Linked DNA regions of Bombyx mori. The protein of the gene in region 1 purifies or fractionates together with the protein of each later gene. This does not show direct contact. Links are inferred from orthologs where the notes say so. Each region holds a gene or a part of one and is shown on either strand. Other genes may lie near its edges. The genes, in order: raf and rptor.

What was found.
Region 2: the proteins of raf (region 1) and rptor purify together in Homo sapiens (affinity purification with mass spectrometry; 3 studies listed by BioGRID and IntAct, with this or other methods). This does not show direct contact. The link is inferred for Bombyx mori from reciprocal best matches to the Homo sapiens genes BRAF and RPTOR.

What each region holds. Positions count from the first base shown.
Region 1 is NC_085121.1:975,941-985,311, reverse strand, and holds the start of raf (raf kinase, effector of Ras), read left to right. Parts: upstream 1-4,436; 5' UTR 4,437-4,630; coding exon 4,631-5,206; intron 5,207-6,346; coding exon 6,347-6,538; intron 6,539-7,458; coding exon 7,459-7,580; intron 7,581-8,472; coding exon 8,473-8,590; intron 8,591-9,371. Other genes in the region: U3 small nucleolar ribonucleoprotein protein IMP3, read left to right, coding at 835-971, 1,274-1,485, 1,591-1,766, 2,110-2,133. UniProt on the Homo sapiens protein: Protein kinase involved in the transduction of mitogenic signals from the cell membrane to the nucleus. Phosphorylates MAP2K1, and thereby activates the MAP kinase signal transduction pathway. Phosphorylates PFKFB2.
Region 2 is NC_085123.1:801,949-811,238, reverse strand, and holds part of rptor (regulatory-associated protein of TOR), read right to left. Parts: intron 8,903-9,290; coding exon 8,783-8,902; intron 7,873-8,782; coding exon 7,705-7,872; intron 7,147-7,704; coding exon 7,023-7,146; intron 2,922-7,022; coding exon 2,775-2,921; intron 2,689-2,774; coding exon 2,585-2,688; intron 398-2,584; coding exon 311-397; intron 1-310. UniProt on the Homo sapiens protein: Component of the mechanistic target of rapamycin complex 1 (mTORC1), an evolutionarily conserved central nutrient sensor that stimulates anabolic reactions and macromolecule biosynthesis to promote cellular biomass generation and growth.

The DNA.
Region 1 (9,371 bases):
ATAGTTTTATTCCGCAGTGAGGAAAACACTATTGTAAATTTGTTAAATATTTCATAATTAAGTGATTCTAGAGAGGAAGTCACAAGGAATGACGTTTGTAATTAATGAATAAATGTTCTGTAGGTGTTTTTTTTTTCACGCGGTCCCTTGATAAGTTTAAAATTTGAATCACTCTCAAGCGAAAGTGATTCAAATGGTGCGGCGCACCTTCCTTGGGGTGCGCTGCGGTAGTATGTTACGGACTTTAGAGTCAGCAAAACAATTAAAATAGATTGTTATAGCCTAAGAAAAACACAACTCAAAATACGATAACATTTAGCATGCTAGAAATGGGCTGATGGCTTTGAACTACGCCATATCTTTATGTTTTGCGACAAACGACAACTTTATAAAATCAATGTAGCAACTTTTAAAAATCATCATATCGTTTACTTGGCAAATTCGAAGGACGAACTTGTCTTAGATTTCACCCATCTAAATCATATCATATTTGCACATAACAATATACCTACTTACTTCCCATTAAAGTATAAATTCTACAAATAAATAATACTCAACAATATTTAAAATAAAATGAGCCAAGAACGTTTATCGATAAAACCTGATAACATTGAAATCTTTTGTACAGCACTAAAGCCGCCATGTTTTGTGGCCAGATGACGTCACAGGGGCACGAAATTTTGGTTGACGTTTCATTTCCATAGGTTTCCTACTTCATTGGTTTTGACAAACGACTTTATAATCAATGTTCTGTTACATTTTTTATTTTATTATTATTTTTTATATAAGCAGAAACACTACATAACCTATATCCTTGTGCTCGGTGTTCCCAAAATGGTCAGAAAACTTAAATTTCATGAAGGGAAACTGCTAAAGAAAGTAGACTTTATATCATGGAAGTTGGATAACAATATTAGTGAAGTGAAGGTTATGAAAAAGTTTTGTATACAAAAGCGTGAGGATTACACAAAGTAAGGCAATTTTGCAATTATGAGCTATGTATTATATTATGAGACAGCCAGTTTTATTTAAATGAAATGTCTGAGACTTTGTTAATAGGGAATATCGGTCGTTATGCCTAAATTCTAAATTCAGCACACTGAAGTCGTATTTGAGTCAAATATTTTACTTTAGTATCCTAAATTTACAACTGGTTCTACAGGAGGGTTCCACAGAAAGCGGGAATTTGGCCGCTTTAGATATAAACTGTCCATTAATTGATGTAAAATACAATTAATAATAAATCTAAAACTATTATTGTGTGAATTGTTAGGTATAACAAATTGTCTCGTGATATCAGAGAGCTCGCAAACAAGATAAAAGACCTCGATCCAAATAATGAATTCAGGACAGAGTCAAGTGCTCAACTTTTGGAAAAACTTTACCAAATTGGATTGATACCGACAAGATGGGATCTTGCCTTGGCCACTAATGTCTCTGCCAGTTCTTTCTGTAGGCGAAGGCTGCCTGTGTTGATGGTTCGAAGTGAGTATCACTTGTTTCAATAAACATTACAATAACATATTTCTTGGAATTTGCATTTTTATTAATAAATGTCATTTATAATTATTGATGTTTATAAATGCACAGATAAAATGTCAGAAACTATTAAAGAAGCCACAAAGTTTATTGAACAAGGACATGTAAGAGTGGGACCTGAAGTAGTGAAGGATCCTGCATTCCTTGTCAACAGATCACTGGAGGACTTTGTTACATGGGTTGATGGTTCAGCAATAAGAAAACATGTTCTGGAATATAATGAAATGGTTAGTATACACAATACACATTCATTAAACTTTTTAATGTTTATTCATATTTCTAAGTTTACTTACATATTGATAATATAATTGTGAAAAAGCTCTGCGTAGAGGTTTAGAATAGTTGTGAAAAACAACTTTTGTTAAATGGAAAGCAGTAATGCATTAAATAAATTTTAGAACTTGTCCACAGCATAATGTCACACTGGTTTTGATATGAAATTAAAAAAAAATGAAAACATTATATAGGGATCAATTATTTATAACATTGTCATTAACAAAGACATGGATGTGTTTGCATAGATAAAACGGAAGAAACTTAAACTAATATTTCTTTTTTTTTCTTTTACAGAGAGATGACTTCGATATGTTATAATTTTATATAAGGCTTTAGTTATATAAGAATACTTATTTTAAGATTCTGTACTGTTACCACAACAACAAGTGAAAGTACCAATACACTTTTTAATGCACACTATTTTAGTTTAAATTTTTATTTCGCCTTGAAGTCATTTTTATTTAAAATATAGATAAATGATTCTTTCCTTTCAAAGAATCATAAAATACATACATTCCTTTGTGCTCTATGTATAGTATTCCACCAATATAACTTGTTTAAAGTGTAACTTCAATGATCTTAAGGTAAACTTCATTTAATACAGGATCTACCAGTGTTGATGGTTTACTTTAAATATGATCTGTATTGTAACCATTTTGATCATAAGCTATAAAAATTTACAATATTTGTTGAAATACAACAAAATCTAAGACATCCTACCTACCACCAGTAATTATGCAAATTATAATTTTCTGGGTTTGATTTATAATGATCTGCTTTGAGTTTCATTATTTGCAATCTCAGAACCATAAAATGTTTGCAGCAAATCTCAATTAGATAATCTATGACCCCACTAGATACTCTAACTTCCAAGCTGTCACAAAAGTTGCTAACTTTATTTCCGCAGTTCCGAAGTTTGACTTTTAAAAATACGTTTGTGTTGTTTTCCTGCCTATGCTTGAGGGGTTATGCCAGTTCAACACCGGGCGAGTAGGTGAGCTTACGGGGCTCTAACCTGACGAAGTTGCTAACACTAGCTCTGGCAAGAACATGGTTTCGCAGAATCTACCACCGGATCGGAAACGCGACTCTCTGAGAAGATCCGGAGAGAAACTCAGTGGAATGTGTGTGTCTGAGGGTTAATTTGCCGAGCCCTTAGTCGCAAGCGACGAGTTCGACGAGCACATTGACCGGTGCTTGAGGTACCTAAAAGCGCCGATAGTGGATCGGGAGGATCCGAAATGCCTTGATACGTTTGTGCAATTCACTGTGGCGTTTCAATGCCCACATGTTAGCAATCATCGATGTGTCGCTAGAGACACATTAATCCCCTTATGGATATTAATCATGTCACACACACTTTGAAATTTTTATGCCGTAACTTATCGCGGGATTGTTTATAATTTATTTTTCTTTTAGGTGTAGGGAATCCTTCATTATCACTTTCTCCAACCGATTATTTGTTTAGCTGAATAACCTTGAATTAATACGACCGAAATGTGTAAGGAAGTTACGTAAAGATAAGAATCTCACAGTGCTACCGCAATTTTTTAAAACAAATCTAAAGGAAAATAAGTACCAATTGATTTACTTTTTGTTAAATTATGTTTTGTAGAATAATAATTGTCTATAAATCTTTAGTGCCCATGAAAGTACAGAAGATACCATTAATTCAATTGAAAGAAACTGTTTCGCGGGGATTTCCCTCTGCATATATTCACATGCCTACACTGCTTTTTGTCTAAAAGTTTTTAAGCCTGAAATTCATAAATATTTTAATACACTATTTTTGCAATACAGTAGACGGTGATAGCAAAAAAATAACAGTAAATTTACTGCAATTATAATACCTACACCTGGCATCTCGAATACTAAGATATGGGTAATCTATCTATGCCTGGCATCGTTGGGCTTGGAAAATCATCGCCATCATGTGAGCGCATTGCATAGAAAAGCGTAGGGATTAGTGATTTTTGGCGGGAACGCAGGGAGCGATATATATTGGGGGAATTATTTTATTTGCTGGATGTGGCTTCTCAGAATTGTTCAGCATTTAGTAGTACTTTTAAGCTGAAATTAGTTGAAGTGAATTAGTTTTAAGCTCGAATGTACAAAAAACTGGAGTTATGAACTAAGTTCCTTTAGCATGTTCAAAGGTAATAAATAAAACCAATAAAGTTTTTTTTGTTAGGGTAAAAGCAGGCAAAGGGAACTAACCGATAAGTTTAATCCTTTTCTAAAAAAAGCCAAGTTTGAGTACAGAAAGTGAAATGACACGTATGAAATAAAATTCATTGTCATGTAAGTAATTTTGGATTTTTCGATAAAAGGTGGGAATATACAACAACAAATAGTTTTTTTTCTTGTTTTGAAATGAAGGGAATTTAAAAACAGATGGAGAAAGATCGTGCATGAGAAAGTGATTATACAGAAGGGTACTCTCTCAGCATTGACGAATACGATGCAAGGAGGAGGAATACACTTAAATGTGTATCTGTGTTAGGGTAGTAATTAGGTACGTAGTATGAGCTAAAATCTTGTAAACAGATAGCGCAAGGTAGGAAAAGCGTAAATTACTAACCGTATACGTGTTCGCGAACAACTTCCAAGATGAACGAAGTACACTGCGTAACGAATCCGAACCCAAAATTCATTTTTTTGTGACCAACTTGAGACTACGAAATTATGAATTTTATTAAATTGTAGGGTAGAAGAATGAAGTGGAATAGTAGAATTTTCTTTTTGAATAATGGCAATTACAATCATGTCTTGCGCGGCGAGTCTGCGCATGAAATAAAAAAATATTGAAAAAGAAATGGCAGTAACTAGCGAAAAAGAAAATTGTGCACGAATTAATGGAAATATACCCGCGCTATCGCTTAACAGTGACAACATGTCGACGTCGACGGACAGTGATGAGACTGCGGATCCGGAGTACGAGATCAGGAATATACAGAACATTATAAACGTGACTCGCCACAACATCGATGCGCTGAATGCTAAATTCGCTGGTTTCCAGCACCCACCTTCGTTATATCTAATTGAGTATCAGGAGCTAACGTCAAAGCTACATACGCTGGAGCAGCGGGAGAGGCATTTACGAGAATTATTACAAACCGATTCTCCAGATCATAGCGAAGAGTACTCGTTTTTTGATGACTCAAAAAAGTTTGACACTCTAACTCGTCAGCGGAAAGTTTTTCTGCGAGCCCATCTTCCGAACCAGCAGCGAACCAGTGTACAGGTCAAAGAGGGAGTGACACTGCGTGTGGCTCTCTCCAAAGCGCTCAAATTGCGGAACCTGACCTGCGAGATGTGTGAGGTTGTGAGGACGGGCTACAACCAAGTTATACCGTGGGACATTGATATAACCACTATTGATGCAGAAGAGGTCAGTGTACACTAATCATCCCTTAATTACTAATAAAACAATAACTACTAATTACTTATAAAGCTTACAACATGTTTTTCCCTGATTTTTTACTCATTTTAACATTTACTTTTTCATAAACAGTCAGGAAAATGTGTATAAAAATAATTCACTTCTAGGATTGTGAAAAAAAACTGGTATGATTCCATAAACTGTAAACTGGGGTCGATGATAAAAAATCTTATTGCAATCTTTATTTTTGTGAATAGTTGAATTAAAATAAATACCTACTCAGAATGGTGATAAATATATATTTAATAAAAAATATATATGAGGCCTATAAAATCAAAGGCAGCTATATCCAAGTCTGTCAAATATTCAGGTAAACTACAAAAATCGGCCCTAAACACGTCATTACGGATCCTCCCGATCCATCGAAGTACTGCTCTTGCTAGGGCCAGTGTTAGCAACACTCCCGGTTTGAGAATCTGAAATAACTTTGTTTGTATAGCTACAATATTCTTTATTTTAAAACATATTTATAAAGAATGAGAATATTACTAATAATCTGAATTTCAAATGATAAAACTTCGTTTAATAGTACTTAATGCAGAGTAAACTTAACTTTTTTGAACTGAATTTGTTAGAGATTAAGCTGCATTTGTTATAACATGAAAACACTAAAGCATGTTCAACTAACTAAATAAGATAGAGCCATTGTTAATACATTTTACGACATTATGGTGTTTAGCTGCCTTTGATTTTATAGACCTCATATATGATCTTATATACTTTTGCCCATTACATCTTTTTACCAAGGACATATTCTGTGGATGAACATGACCTTTTAAGTGTGGTCAAAATGTCCACTTCTATAAACAATCTGAAGATGGCATCTGGTGGCACTTGATAGATATTCCACTACATTCATATACAGTATCCCAATTCTGATATTAACTAGTTCCAAACCTTCAGGAGCAAGATGAATAAACTCATAGTAATTTTCTCATTAACTCAGTAATGGGCCATATCAAACATCAAATCAACACACAACTTTAATATTGCTCGTTGTTTTTGTTTTTTGAATTAAGAGTGATTACTCATGAGTGATTACTTTTTTATTGATAATCAATGCTAATGTTTATCCCGTTGATTGCTCAGGTAACAGTTCGGACTCTTGACGGGCTACCTATAATGACTCACATCTCACATCAATTCGCCCGTAAGACATTCTTCACATTAGCTTTCTGTGAGTGCTGCAGGCGACTACTCTTCAATGGATTTTACTGCTCGCAGTGTAACTTCAAGTTTCACCAGAGATGCGCTGATAAAGTTCCTAGTATGTGCCATCAGGTTAGTTTATATTATTACAAACTCTAGGTTTATGTTGTAATTTTATCTATTTGTTGTTAAGTATTTTGTATTTCTTTTCTTATAATGTCTTTCTATGTTTTATAATCATTACTAAACCAAAGAACAGTTTGACCTATGAAACAGAATAAGGTACTGAACTTTTTCTTTGCCTATTGATATGAAATAGTAATTAATAACTACTTACTTACTAACTTTGAAGGAAGTGGGGCTCCCTATAGAATTTATAAAAAACATTTACTGGATTGCTTACTGTGTTTTAAGTGTCCCAAACATCAGACTGATTGAGACAAAAAGAAGTATACTTTCATCTCATAATGCAAAACATCTTAAACAATAATTTCAAATCAACCCAGTGGCACAGTAATTTAGTTTACTTACCCTAAAAGGCTTTAACCAATTAGGTGGTAATCGCTGTTAAGTTTCCATTCCAGGGTTTGACATTGGAAAGCTATATATGTTTTTATATTGTTACTTAACATGAGTAAACATAACCGAGCCTGCAGACCAAATGGTAAACAAGCACCGTCGCCCAAAACACGTCACCTCGAATCCTCCCGATCCACTATCGGTGCTTTTAGATACTCCAACCACCAGTCACCGTTCTCGTCAGACCCCTCCATTGCGACGAAGGGTTCGTCGCGAAAATATAACTACAGAAACAGCCCACTGAGTTCCTCGCTGGATCTTCTCAGCGAAGTCTGCCCTTGCTAGAGTTAGTGTTAGCAAAATCGTCAGGTTTAATCCCTTGAGATCGCCTAAACGTTCGGTGTATCTAGTATATCTTGACGCTAGTAGCATATTTAGTATAAGCAAAAAAAAACAATATTATATACTAACCGTTTTCGTTATTAAGACTTGTAATCATGATAATTATAATGATTTGTATTTCGTTTCGACAGGTACGTATGACAGATACATATTATGCAGCACTGTTGGCACAGAACCCAGAAACTCAAGCTGGCATTCTACACTATCCTCCCCACTTCGGGTACCATCCTGGGATGAGAGGAGACCAAAGCAAGTGAGTAGCATAAAATTTCCGTCGACACCTATGCAAGCTTAGTGTTCGCTCACGGGGCGCGCATGCACATAAACTCTCTTGAGGTCATCCAATCCCGTTTCTGCAGGATAGCCGCCGGAGCATCGTGGTACGTGAGGAATGTTGACCTTCACGACGACCTAAATTTAGAACCTATACGTAAGCATCTTAAGGTAGTGTCAGAACACTACTTCGACAAAGCGGCGCGACACGATAATCCGCTTAGTGTGTACCGCCGCTAATTACTTATCCTGCCCAAGCGACGGGTCAATGCAAAACCGCCGTCGCCCAAAACATGTCTTGTCGGATCCACCGGATTTACTCTCGGTGCTTTTAGGCCTCCAGCACCGGTTCTCGTGGAACTCGTCGATTCCACGAGTGAACTAACCCATAGATACAGCCTACTGAGTTTCTCGCCAGATCTTGTCGGTGGGTCGCTATTCCGATCCGGTGGTAGATTCAGCGAAGCACTGCTCTTGCTAGGGCTGGTGTTAGCAAATTCTGTCAGGTTGAACCCGTGAGCTCACCTACCCGTCCGATCGTAGCTGGAATTGCCCTGTATACTACCAACGAATAGGTAGGAAAAAAGAGTTGGCGTTTTTTTTTTTATTGCTTAGATGGATGGATGAGCTCACAGCCCACCTGGTGTTAAGTGGTTACTGGACCCCATAGACATCCACAACGTAAATGCGCCATCCACCTTGAGATATAAGTTCTAAGATCTCAGTATGTACATTTGACAAGTTTTGGTTCCATTAATATATACACTAATTTAAAAAACTAGTTTTTCTTCATTTTTGTGTCAACTCTCTGTGTCATACGTTATACAATTCTCTATTGTTAATGTCTGTAATCTGTTTATTTTGTCCACCAGACAACCACACCCACGTTCATTGAACCAGCAAGACCGATCAAATTCTGCTCCAAATGTTTGCATCAACATGGTGCAGAAGCCTTTGACGCTAGCTGAACATCAAAAATGCTACAGTCAGGTAATATAGTTTTTCTAACCATCAACACAATTATGGTCCTGTGTGCTTAGTGCGAGTTTTTTAACGTTTTCGTTAGCGTAAAAGTTAACTCACAGTTATATGGAGTTGGAATGTTTGCCTACGTTTGCCGCTAGGGGCGCTGTTCTAACTGCATAGAGTTGACTTTTACGCTATCGAGAACGTTCAAAAAACTCGCACTAGGCACACTGGTGTGGATACAGGTACAGAGGTTCTAGTGAGACTAACGTTCGTAACAATTAGTTAGACTAACTCTAAAGTTCAGCGACAATCATAGAATACGAACCCTCGCTTAGTATTATTATTTATTTAACATAATTTTATTCGAAAATATATATGAAAACATCAAAATAATCTATTCTTCTGTTTCATAAACGAAATGTAACTCGATTATTAATCAGCGGAGGCGTGACGCTGCACGAGGGACCGCATACCGTTGTACTTAGTACATTACCGCTCTTAAACTGGAATTAGCAGAATTATTGAAACTCTAAACAAATAATTTTCACAATGACAGGTTAAACTGACAGTTTCGTTCCGACTGACTAAGTGACGGCCCGACTCTGACGTACCACCATTTCATACTTTGGCATTACAGCGTCTACCCTACATTTTTCTGATATTTATCAAAACAGCATTTGATCATTTAAAATAATAATTTTTACTAGTGGTAGAGGACCTCTTGTGAGGCCGCGCGAGTGGGTACCACCACCCTGCCTATTTCTGCCGTGAAGCAGTAATGCGTTTCGGTTTGAAGGGTGGG
Region 2 (9,290 bases), on another chromosome or scaffold:
CCGGCTCCATCGAATTATAAGACGTTGTCACGTCAAAACCATTTTTTTTTTTAAAAATAATTCTCATTAGAATTTAGAAATATATATCTTTAACAAATAAAAATTATAGATCAACAAATGAGACCATTACTTTTATTAACTAGACGTGAATTAGCGCCTGACGAAAGGGTTCGATCGGACTCGCTCATTGGACCGTAGGATCACCCTTTCTATAGAGCAAATGTGCCATTAATACATCCGCTGTTCCTCAAATTAATATTTAAAATATTGACTGTTGATATAGAGATGAGTTGATTAAAGTGCCACTTACAGTTGGGGTCGGCCTGTTGCTTGTTTTTGTTCGTCGCTAGTTTGTCTTCGTTCGAGGAGAACTGATCAGAGACCAGTTGAGCTATACCTGGGATAGATTGTGATTACATTGCATTTGTAACGAAAAGATTGCTGCGGCGGTAAAGTTACTGCGAACAAATCACGCCCGGTCATACGGTCACAGATTAGGATTCCCTTTGGTCAGGATTTTTTTTTAAGAGATTTTATGACCTGGTAACTGAGACCTTGAAGTCATGTCTTATTTTCATTTATATTATTCATATTTTTATGAAAAATGATATTATGGAGTGAAATAAAATGAAGATAATTAATTTGAGACACTAATCAACTGGGATGAAATTAAATGAAATGAATTGAGATGAAATATAATCTCAGTAAAATGGTGGTCATTTACTAAGATTTTTTCAGTGGACTTTTTAGAGGATCCCGAGGAGTTACGTCCAGCGGCTTTGTTTCATTTTCCCACATTTGTGCACTTTCACAGATATTAAACAGTTAATAAACTACCATTATTACACATTTAAACCCGAGGAAACACTAAATAGACAAATTATTTTGTCACAACAAATCACACAACTTCACTCCTCGCGTTCCCGCCAAAAAGTCCCTTTGGTCAGCGTATCAGAGACTGACATAGATTATATATCGTGCCTTTAAATATATATAATAATATGGAGTAGGTATAGTAAGCGGCACGTAAGTTGGCAAGGTTTTGGTGTAGTGGGGGTAATGTCGCGCATAGTGCACATTGCAACAAAAAAATGGTCATTTTTATTGCCCGCATATAATTTAATTTAATTTTATTTTATTGTTTATTTGCCATAACTTATTTTTAAGCCTGTGTGTTTTGAAGAACGTTAAAGAAAAGAGAGGAATTCGTGAAGTGTATTAGGTGTTATAAATAAAATACAATTAAAAGTTACTATATAATTAAATTTTAATTGTTAGTAATATACTTAATATTAAAAATTATGTGTCGCCGTCGTCACTATCATTTTCTAATATTGCTACCCCTTGGATTAAATTTATTGTAGCACCTGAGCTGGTGGAAGGAGTTGGCTCCTCATCGTCGACATAACGAAGAGTCGCTGTCGTCACTGGCGTAAATAATAAAACGCTCAGTGACTGAATCTACTATATGGTAATTGGTATTTGGTCCTGGCATTGCAAACAAATTTAAAACAATAACACTCGTAACAAAAACTAAATTTAAACAATAATAACAACTCCAAACAAAAAAAAATATATAAAAAAAGGGTATCCTACAACTTAGTAGGCAAATGTGTAGCCGGGAGCGAACGGAACGCGGACGCGGTGCGGGAGGGGAGGGTCGACTGACGCACCAATCGCGCGCTCGGAACGGTGCTACGTCTTTCCCCGCGTCCCGCTTGACAACCAAAGAGACCTAAAAAATGACTTCTGCGCATCTAACGACTCTTGCCAAGTTACGTGCCGGGGACTATACTTCAGGATGAATAAACAATAAAATACTTAATTGTGTTCTCTGTAATATAATAAGAAAAGAACATTTAAAGCCCTTAATCTCTTTTAAATTTAATAACCAAAATTAAACTGTATTAATGAACTATCCAAACTGAGCTCTCTTTTTATTGAATAACTGACTTCACTACATGAAACTGAAGAAAAACCCTTTTTAAAACCTAAGGAGTTTTAAATAATAAAGGTTTTCGGCTTAATTAGCTACTACGTCACTGAGTCAGTTAATAAGCGCTTTTTTTTTACTGGTTACTGGAGCCCATAGATATCTACAACGTAAATGCGCCTACACATCTTAAGATATAAGTTCTAGTCTTAGTATAGTTACAACGGCTGCCCCAACTCACTTACAAATTACAATACCCCACAATACACTACCCCAAATTACGATACTGCATTTGGCCCCAAATGACGTTACAGGTAAATAAGTTGCGTTTTGTAGTATACGGGACAATGTTGAATGTACTGTGTCCCAGGCGCTAGATTCGTTCTAATACTATACTATGAGTAGTTCTTGTGCTGTGACTCTGAGGAAGGTCGGAGCCCTCTGCAAACGTGCGTTGCAGTCGCGTTCTTTTCATATCAACTTGACCGTAACATGTCTAGGGTGGCAGGTGTCTAGAGGGACAGGTGTTGGGGGAACAGGTGACTGGGGGACAGATGGCTGGGGGGACAGGCGATTGGGGGACAGATGGCTAGGGGGTCAGATGACTGGGGGGACAGGTGGCTGAGGGGACAGGTGGTTGCGGGTACGTACTGTAGATGGGCTGCGCGCGCGGCGGGGTGTACTGCGGCGGGGGGGACACGTCCAGCGCGCGCCACGCGCTCACCAGCGCCGGCTCCGTGCTGCTGCCCGACGGCCTGTGTGGCACCACCACATGTACGGGGACTCTTATACAACGGGTCGCTGAGAGCGGCTACAGGAGCTGACACTTGGGGACCGGTACCTGTAGACTGCCAGGTTGCCGGTGTGCGAGGCCACGGCCAGCAGCGCGTGCTGGTGCTCGTTGAGGTAGGCCAGCGAGGAGATGCGGCCCCACGCCGGGCGCCACGAGCCCACGCACAGCTTGGCCGCCGTGCCCCAGTCCCAGATACTGCGGAGAGCACCACCACGTGGTTAATGTCTACATCTAGGGGCGTTGCGAACCCGCGTACTTCGAAGCAAAGATTCGTTCCGGTTTGTGTGGCGAGACAGCCGGTATGTAATACAGTTGAGCTATGGACAACGATCACGTGGGGTGCGGCATTCATATTAATCCAATATCCAAGCTCCAGAACCAAACGACATCAGGTAGAAAATCATAGAAGTGGCAGCTTTTGGTCTGGCGGATAGAACGTCAGGGGGCGCAGGCCCAACCCTCCGTTGAGCCTTGACCCCAGGTCGACCATGAGCTCTGTCAATAATATTTATTGGAAATAAAAGGTTTGTGTTCCAAAGGACAATGACCACATATGTATGGAATGCCGTCTTATGTTGTTGCACAATAAATCTTTATTTATTATAGACTACGCTTTATATATTATCGAATAAAAGTGTTCGCTTCCCCATAATTAACCGGGTTTTCAAGTAATTAGACCAAAACGGACATAACCTATAAATACCTAGTCAGGTCATAAATTCTGTCACATGTTTAATGTAAAATAATTGAAACAAGTTTATTCATTATGTAACCATTCATATACCAAAATGAACTTAACAAAACATATATTCTTATAACACTAAAGTTTATTCAAAATGACCTCCGTGATTTTGAATACAGGCCTTCAATCTGCGCGGCCAGTCGTCTATCGCAGCACGAACGAGGTCCATGTCAATATCGGCGGCTGCCTTAATCAACGATGTCTTGAGTGACTCCAAATTGGGATGAGGCTTTGAGCACGCCTTTTCCTCCAAGTGTTGCCATATCTTGTAATCTAACGGATTCAAATCTGGACTGGAGGAGGGCTAGTCTTCGTGCCGGATGAAGTCGATTTCACGCGCCCCAGCCAGTCTTGTGTGCTCTTCGCTCTATAAGCTGGCGCCGAATCTTGTTGGAATACCCAGTGCCTGTTATTGAACATGGTATGAGAAACAGGTTCCACAAGGTTCGTCAGGACTGTATTTTGATACACAACTGCATTCATTTTTACAGCTTTCTCACAAAAATGTACCTCTGTTAAGCCCCAATAAGAAACTCCCAACCATACCATGAGCGAGGATGGAAAATGACCTCGTTGGACACGCGGAATACGGTTGCTCGCTTCTTCACTACTGTGTGGGTACACCTTATCATTTTGTTTGTTGTAGCTCTCTTCTACGGTAAAACTTTTTTCATCCGAAAAAAGAATTTCCCGATATTTTTTTCCCGCGTACCGCTTCAACAAAGCGCGGCATCTCTTCAGTCTCAGGTCCATTAGACGAGCATTCAAACGATGTCCTGTTTTTCTTCGATATGCCCGAAGCCCTAAGTCTTCATTTAACACCCTTTTCACCGTGGTTCTGCTTAACCCCATCTGAAGGGCCAACAGTTTCTGCTTACGTTTGGGATTTCTTTGAATTCGCGCCTTCACAGCTTTTATCACTGCTGGAGTCCTAACAGACCGAGGGCAACCACTTCTTGACCTGTCATCTACACTAGAGTCTTCATTGTATAGTTTGATGGTACGATAAACGAATCTTTTGGTTATATTCAAATTTTTCAGTATGTTAAAAATTTGAATTAGCGCGTAACCGCAAAGATGCAACGCAATAACTGCAACACGGTCTTCTTTAAGCGTCCACTCAATATGTAAAAATGAGTAAAATTCTAAAAGTATACATTTTTATTTTCATGAACAATTCGAAATTCGAATTCAATGAACTTTTTTGTGGCCAGCATTCTAAAAGAAAAGTTTTTACTGTGTGACAATACTTATGACCTGACTAGGTAATGTTAAGCCGACTTTTCCTGATTATCAGAGGCTCAAGCATCAGCATGATTACAGAATTACAGAGACTCTAGAGTTCATAAACAAAACATATACACGTCTTAAAACACTTTTAGGTACATAAAAACGTATGGCCGCTTGCTGGGTCACAGCCGCCGGCTCGTCTACGTCGATCGACAATAATATCATATAGCTTGACAGTTGCGTCTGGATGAAACGGAACCAGAAAAAATAATTATTTTAACTTAATAATAAAATCATAATTCAATACGTTGTAAAATATAATATAATATACCTAGTTATTTAACTGGACAAGATTTTGATATCATTTTTGTGATGATTGAGTCTAAAAACTCATGCATGAGTAATCTGTCTAAATAGAGAGAACAAAACGTCATGTCCCGACTTTAATACGAAAATGATGTTGTTGATTTACTATTAATCTTAAAATCATAATTCCCGTCCTGTGCAAAACATTTCTGTAGTGAAATTGATTCTGACTATCAGAATCAATTTCAGCGGGCTGACCTTCGTGCCCGGGGCGTGGCGCGTCCCAGCCCCTGTGTGGTCAGAGCGCGGAGGGCCCAATCTCGGCGGTCCGTGCTGGAGTCATGGTCCAGACGGCTGGCTGATCCTTCGGCCGGTCGTAGGACCCTCGAGGCGATTCGCCCGGTCCTTGTGGATTGGGTGAATCGTGACAGAGGACGCCTCACTTTCCGGCTCACGCAGGTGCTCACTGGGCATGGTTGCTTCGGTGAGTTCCTGCACCGGATCGGAGCCGAGCCGACGGCAGAGTGCCACCATTGTGGTTGCGACTTGGACACGGCGGAGCACACGCTCGTTGCCTGCCCCGCATGGGAGGGGTGGCGCCGTGTCCTCGTCGCAAAAACAGGAAACGACTTGTCGTTGCCGAGTGTCGTGGCATCGATGCTCGGCGACGACGAGTCGTGGAAGGCGATGCTCGACTTCTGCAAGTGCACCATCTCGCAGAAGGAGGCGGCGGGGCGCGTGAGAGACGCACAATCCCGCCGCCGTCGAGCGGGGGCCAGGGAGGCGGATCTCGCCCAAGCCCTGGCCCTTTAAATATTTCGGGTCCCCCTCACATGTCGGTCTGGGGACCGGCGAGGGGGGCCTAAGAAGACGACGTGCAAGCTGCTCTGCACGCGTTTTACGCAAGAGCATCCGGGTGATGGAAGGCCGGCTATCCTCGACTCACGCTGGTTCTGGTCCAGCGGGGTATTCCGTAGGATAGCTCACTCTAACCGGCGCCATCTAGGCGGGCTTCGGATAGCCTGCCGACCGAGAGGGCTGGTGGTCGTGGCGCCGACGACCGCCGGTCCGGCGTCCCGAGGGGGAGGGTGATGGGAGAGATGTGCTCCGCACTAAACGCTTCACTTTCCCCCCTCTGCCTCTTCATGAGTTCTGTCTCATGCGAGGTTTGGACGTTGGTTGTTGAGCGACAGGAGGTTTTAGTCAGTTCGACTCTGACATGCCCCGCCCTCCATCCCCAGTGGAGGGCGGAAGTCCGGCGATTTCCTCCTGACAAAAAAAAATAAAAAAAAAATAAAAGGGAAATTGATTGTAAAAAATTACAAAACTATTTCAATGTTATTTTGATTCTGCAAGATGCAACTTTGTTAGACGACTTTTGGTCATTCTCCTTTCAATGAATTTTAAGATATTTAGTTCGTAACTGTTGGCAGTACTGAATGAAATAACAAATTCAAAGAGAACTCCTTACGTTTATGTGAACCTGGTACTTTGACAAATTCAATTTATTTAGTTAAGCAGATCTAATCATATGTAACCGAACAGATTCGTGTGGTCGCTTTTCATCGACAAATGACCACGGCGCCACAGAAGTTTTCACTTCATAAAGTTACAAGTACGGCACGTCACCACCTCGTCCCTCACATTATTTACCAGCCCCACGGACACATCTTGCATTATTTTTTTTTCGGGCTGGGGGCCTAGCCTCCTACAAGGTCCACGCGTCTAGGGGGGGCGCGGGGTATGTGGGACTCGACGATCTGCAAGGTCTTGGGAGCAGACCGCGGGCCCAAGGAATTTTAGGGCCCTACCCACTAAACGACTCCCCTACATTCTTAGACCCGATGTCCGATCTCCATCCGGGGTCCAAACCCGGTCAGAGTAGGGGGATTCCCGCGGTCAACACTACAACCAGACACGCGGCGCCACCCCGAGGACACCCGACCGACGGGTACCCTTCTTGCATAATCCAACCTTTATGGAAGGTAATCACAGCACGGTTGTGACACATTACGTACCCGAAGTTATCCTTGGAGGCGACGGCCAGATGCTGGTCGTAGGGGTGGAAGAGCACCACGGCGGGCGGCAGCGGGCAGCGCGAGTGGAAGGCCTGCGTCTCCAGCCGGGACACGCGGCACGCGGCTGCACCCACATGCCACATGCATCACGCAATCATCACAGTGTTCGATACGTTTCATACTTTTCAATCGCATTCATAAATGTTTAAATGTTAGACGATGTCTGAAAGTGGCACGTGTGACAGAGAAGTTGAGAAGTGCGCGTTTGGGATTGTATGGACATGTGATGAGACGAAATGAAAATAAGGTTGGTAAGAAAGTTAACTGTGAATGAGGATATTGAGAAAGAGGAAACCTAAGAGGAAATGGATGGATTACGTGAAAGTCGATATGTGTAAGAGAGTGAGCGAAGAAATAGTATATGATAGAGTATGGAAGGAGAAAATATGTTGGGCCGACTCCAGGTGACTGTCAGAAGGGCAGGAGAATGATGATGATGATGATGAGATAAATGTTTAAACAGTAACTCGGGAGTTCGCCTTTTTTTTTATTGCCCTTGCAGACGAGCATACGGAACACCTAATGGTGAGTGGTTATCGTCGCCCATGGACTTCAGCAATGCCAGGGGCAGAGCCAAGCCGCTGCCTACAGATCGCCTCTCGATCTCTGTGAGGGTCGGTACCTCTGGCCTCCCTGCGCAGCTCGCGGTTGCGCGCGAGGGTCCAGCGGCGCTGGTGGTGCTCGCGGCTCTCGCAGTCCGGGCGCGCGGGCTCGGGCCGGGAGAACGCGCCGCCCGCCCACTCCACGAACTCGGTGCTCACTATCGCCTTCTTGCTCGTACATGTCTGACCTGGACAGCGACAACATACAAAATTCAAAATTCAAAATCATTTATTTCAACTTAGATGTCAGTATGACACACTTGTTGAATGTCAAAATACAAATAACAATGTTAACTCTACCACCGGTTCCAAAAAAAGCCACAGTCCTGAGAAGAACCGGCGAAACAAACTCAGCGGGCTTTTTTTTTGTTTTTTTCTCAAATATTTTCTTTTTTTAAATAAATAGAAATATTCACAATAAAAGAAAAAACAAGTCAAAAAAAAATACAATTAAAAAAAAATTAATAATAATGAAAAATGAAAAGGCCAGGAGCGAGCGCCTCATTCCCACGTAGTGCCATCTAGTAAATAATCCTTAACTTTATAATATGCCTTGTTGCACAAACGTTCCTTAACAGTTTTCTTAAATCTATGAACAGGTAGTAGTTGAACGTTTAGTGGGATCTTGTTGAAAAGCTGTACACCCAGCTCCCTAAAAGAGTTGCTTATTTTCTTAATTCGAGCCGCCGGCAACGCAAGCCTATGTTTGTTCCTAGTGTTCACATTGTGCAAATCGCAGACTCTGGGGAATTCTTCAATGTTTTTACGCACGTACAATAAATTTTCAATACCATAGAGAGGTGCCAGTTAATGAAGATGTTTTACTGGTGGTAGGACCTCTGGTAAGTCCGCGGGTGGGTACCACCACCCTGCCTGTTTCTGCCGTGAAGGAGTAATGCGTTTCGGTTTGAAGGGTGGGGTAGCCGTTGTAACTATACTTGAGACCTTAGAACTTATATCTCAAGGTGGGTGGTGCGTTTACGTTGTGGATGTCTATGGGCTCCAGTAATCACTTAACACCAGGTGGGCTCTGAGCGCGTCCACCCATCTAAGCAATAAAAAAAAAAGATGTAGACACATCATGGAGGGTAAACTTACTAGAATTAGATGAGAGTGAATCTTTGTGCCGTTCTCGGTCCCCTCCAGAGTCGCGGTCTCTGTTCGCAACAGACTCCTCGGATATGGTGTGTGGCAGCCCCGACTTGCCGCGACGATGGCCTGCAAATCCAATAAATGCTATAATATTGTTACGCCGGTAAGAGTAACACCATCTATTGACAGATAGCGGAAACTACGACTAAAGACATGTAGAATATTCTCGATAATTCTAGGGATGAGGTATCATCGGCTATAAAAGCGTTGTAGAGATGGCACGCAGTCAGTCAGTAATCGGAACTACTCGAAGCGAAACAGCGAACGGATTACCTGAAGCGAAGCGGAACAAGCGAATTGAGAGTTTTAAAGTGTTGGTTGACTGTTTTAAAGTGTTTTAAGTGTTGAATACAGTTTTTAGTTGTACTTTGGTGAAATTTTTATTTATCCCGAACCCCAGCGCGTAACAATATAATAGTGAGTTATATAGAGGTTCGCTAGTGTGTGTAGGTGC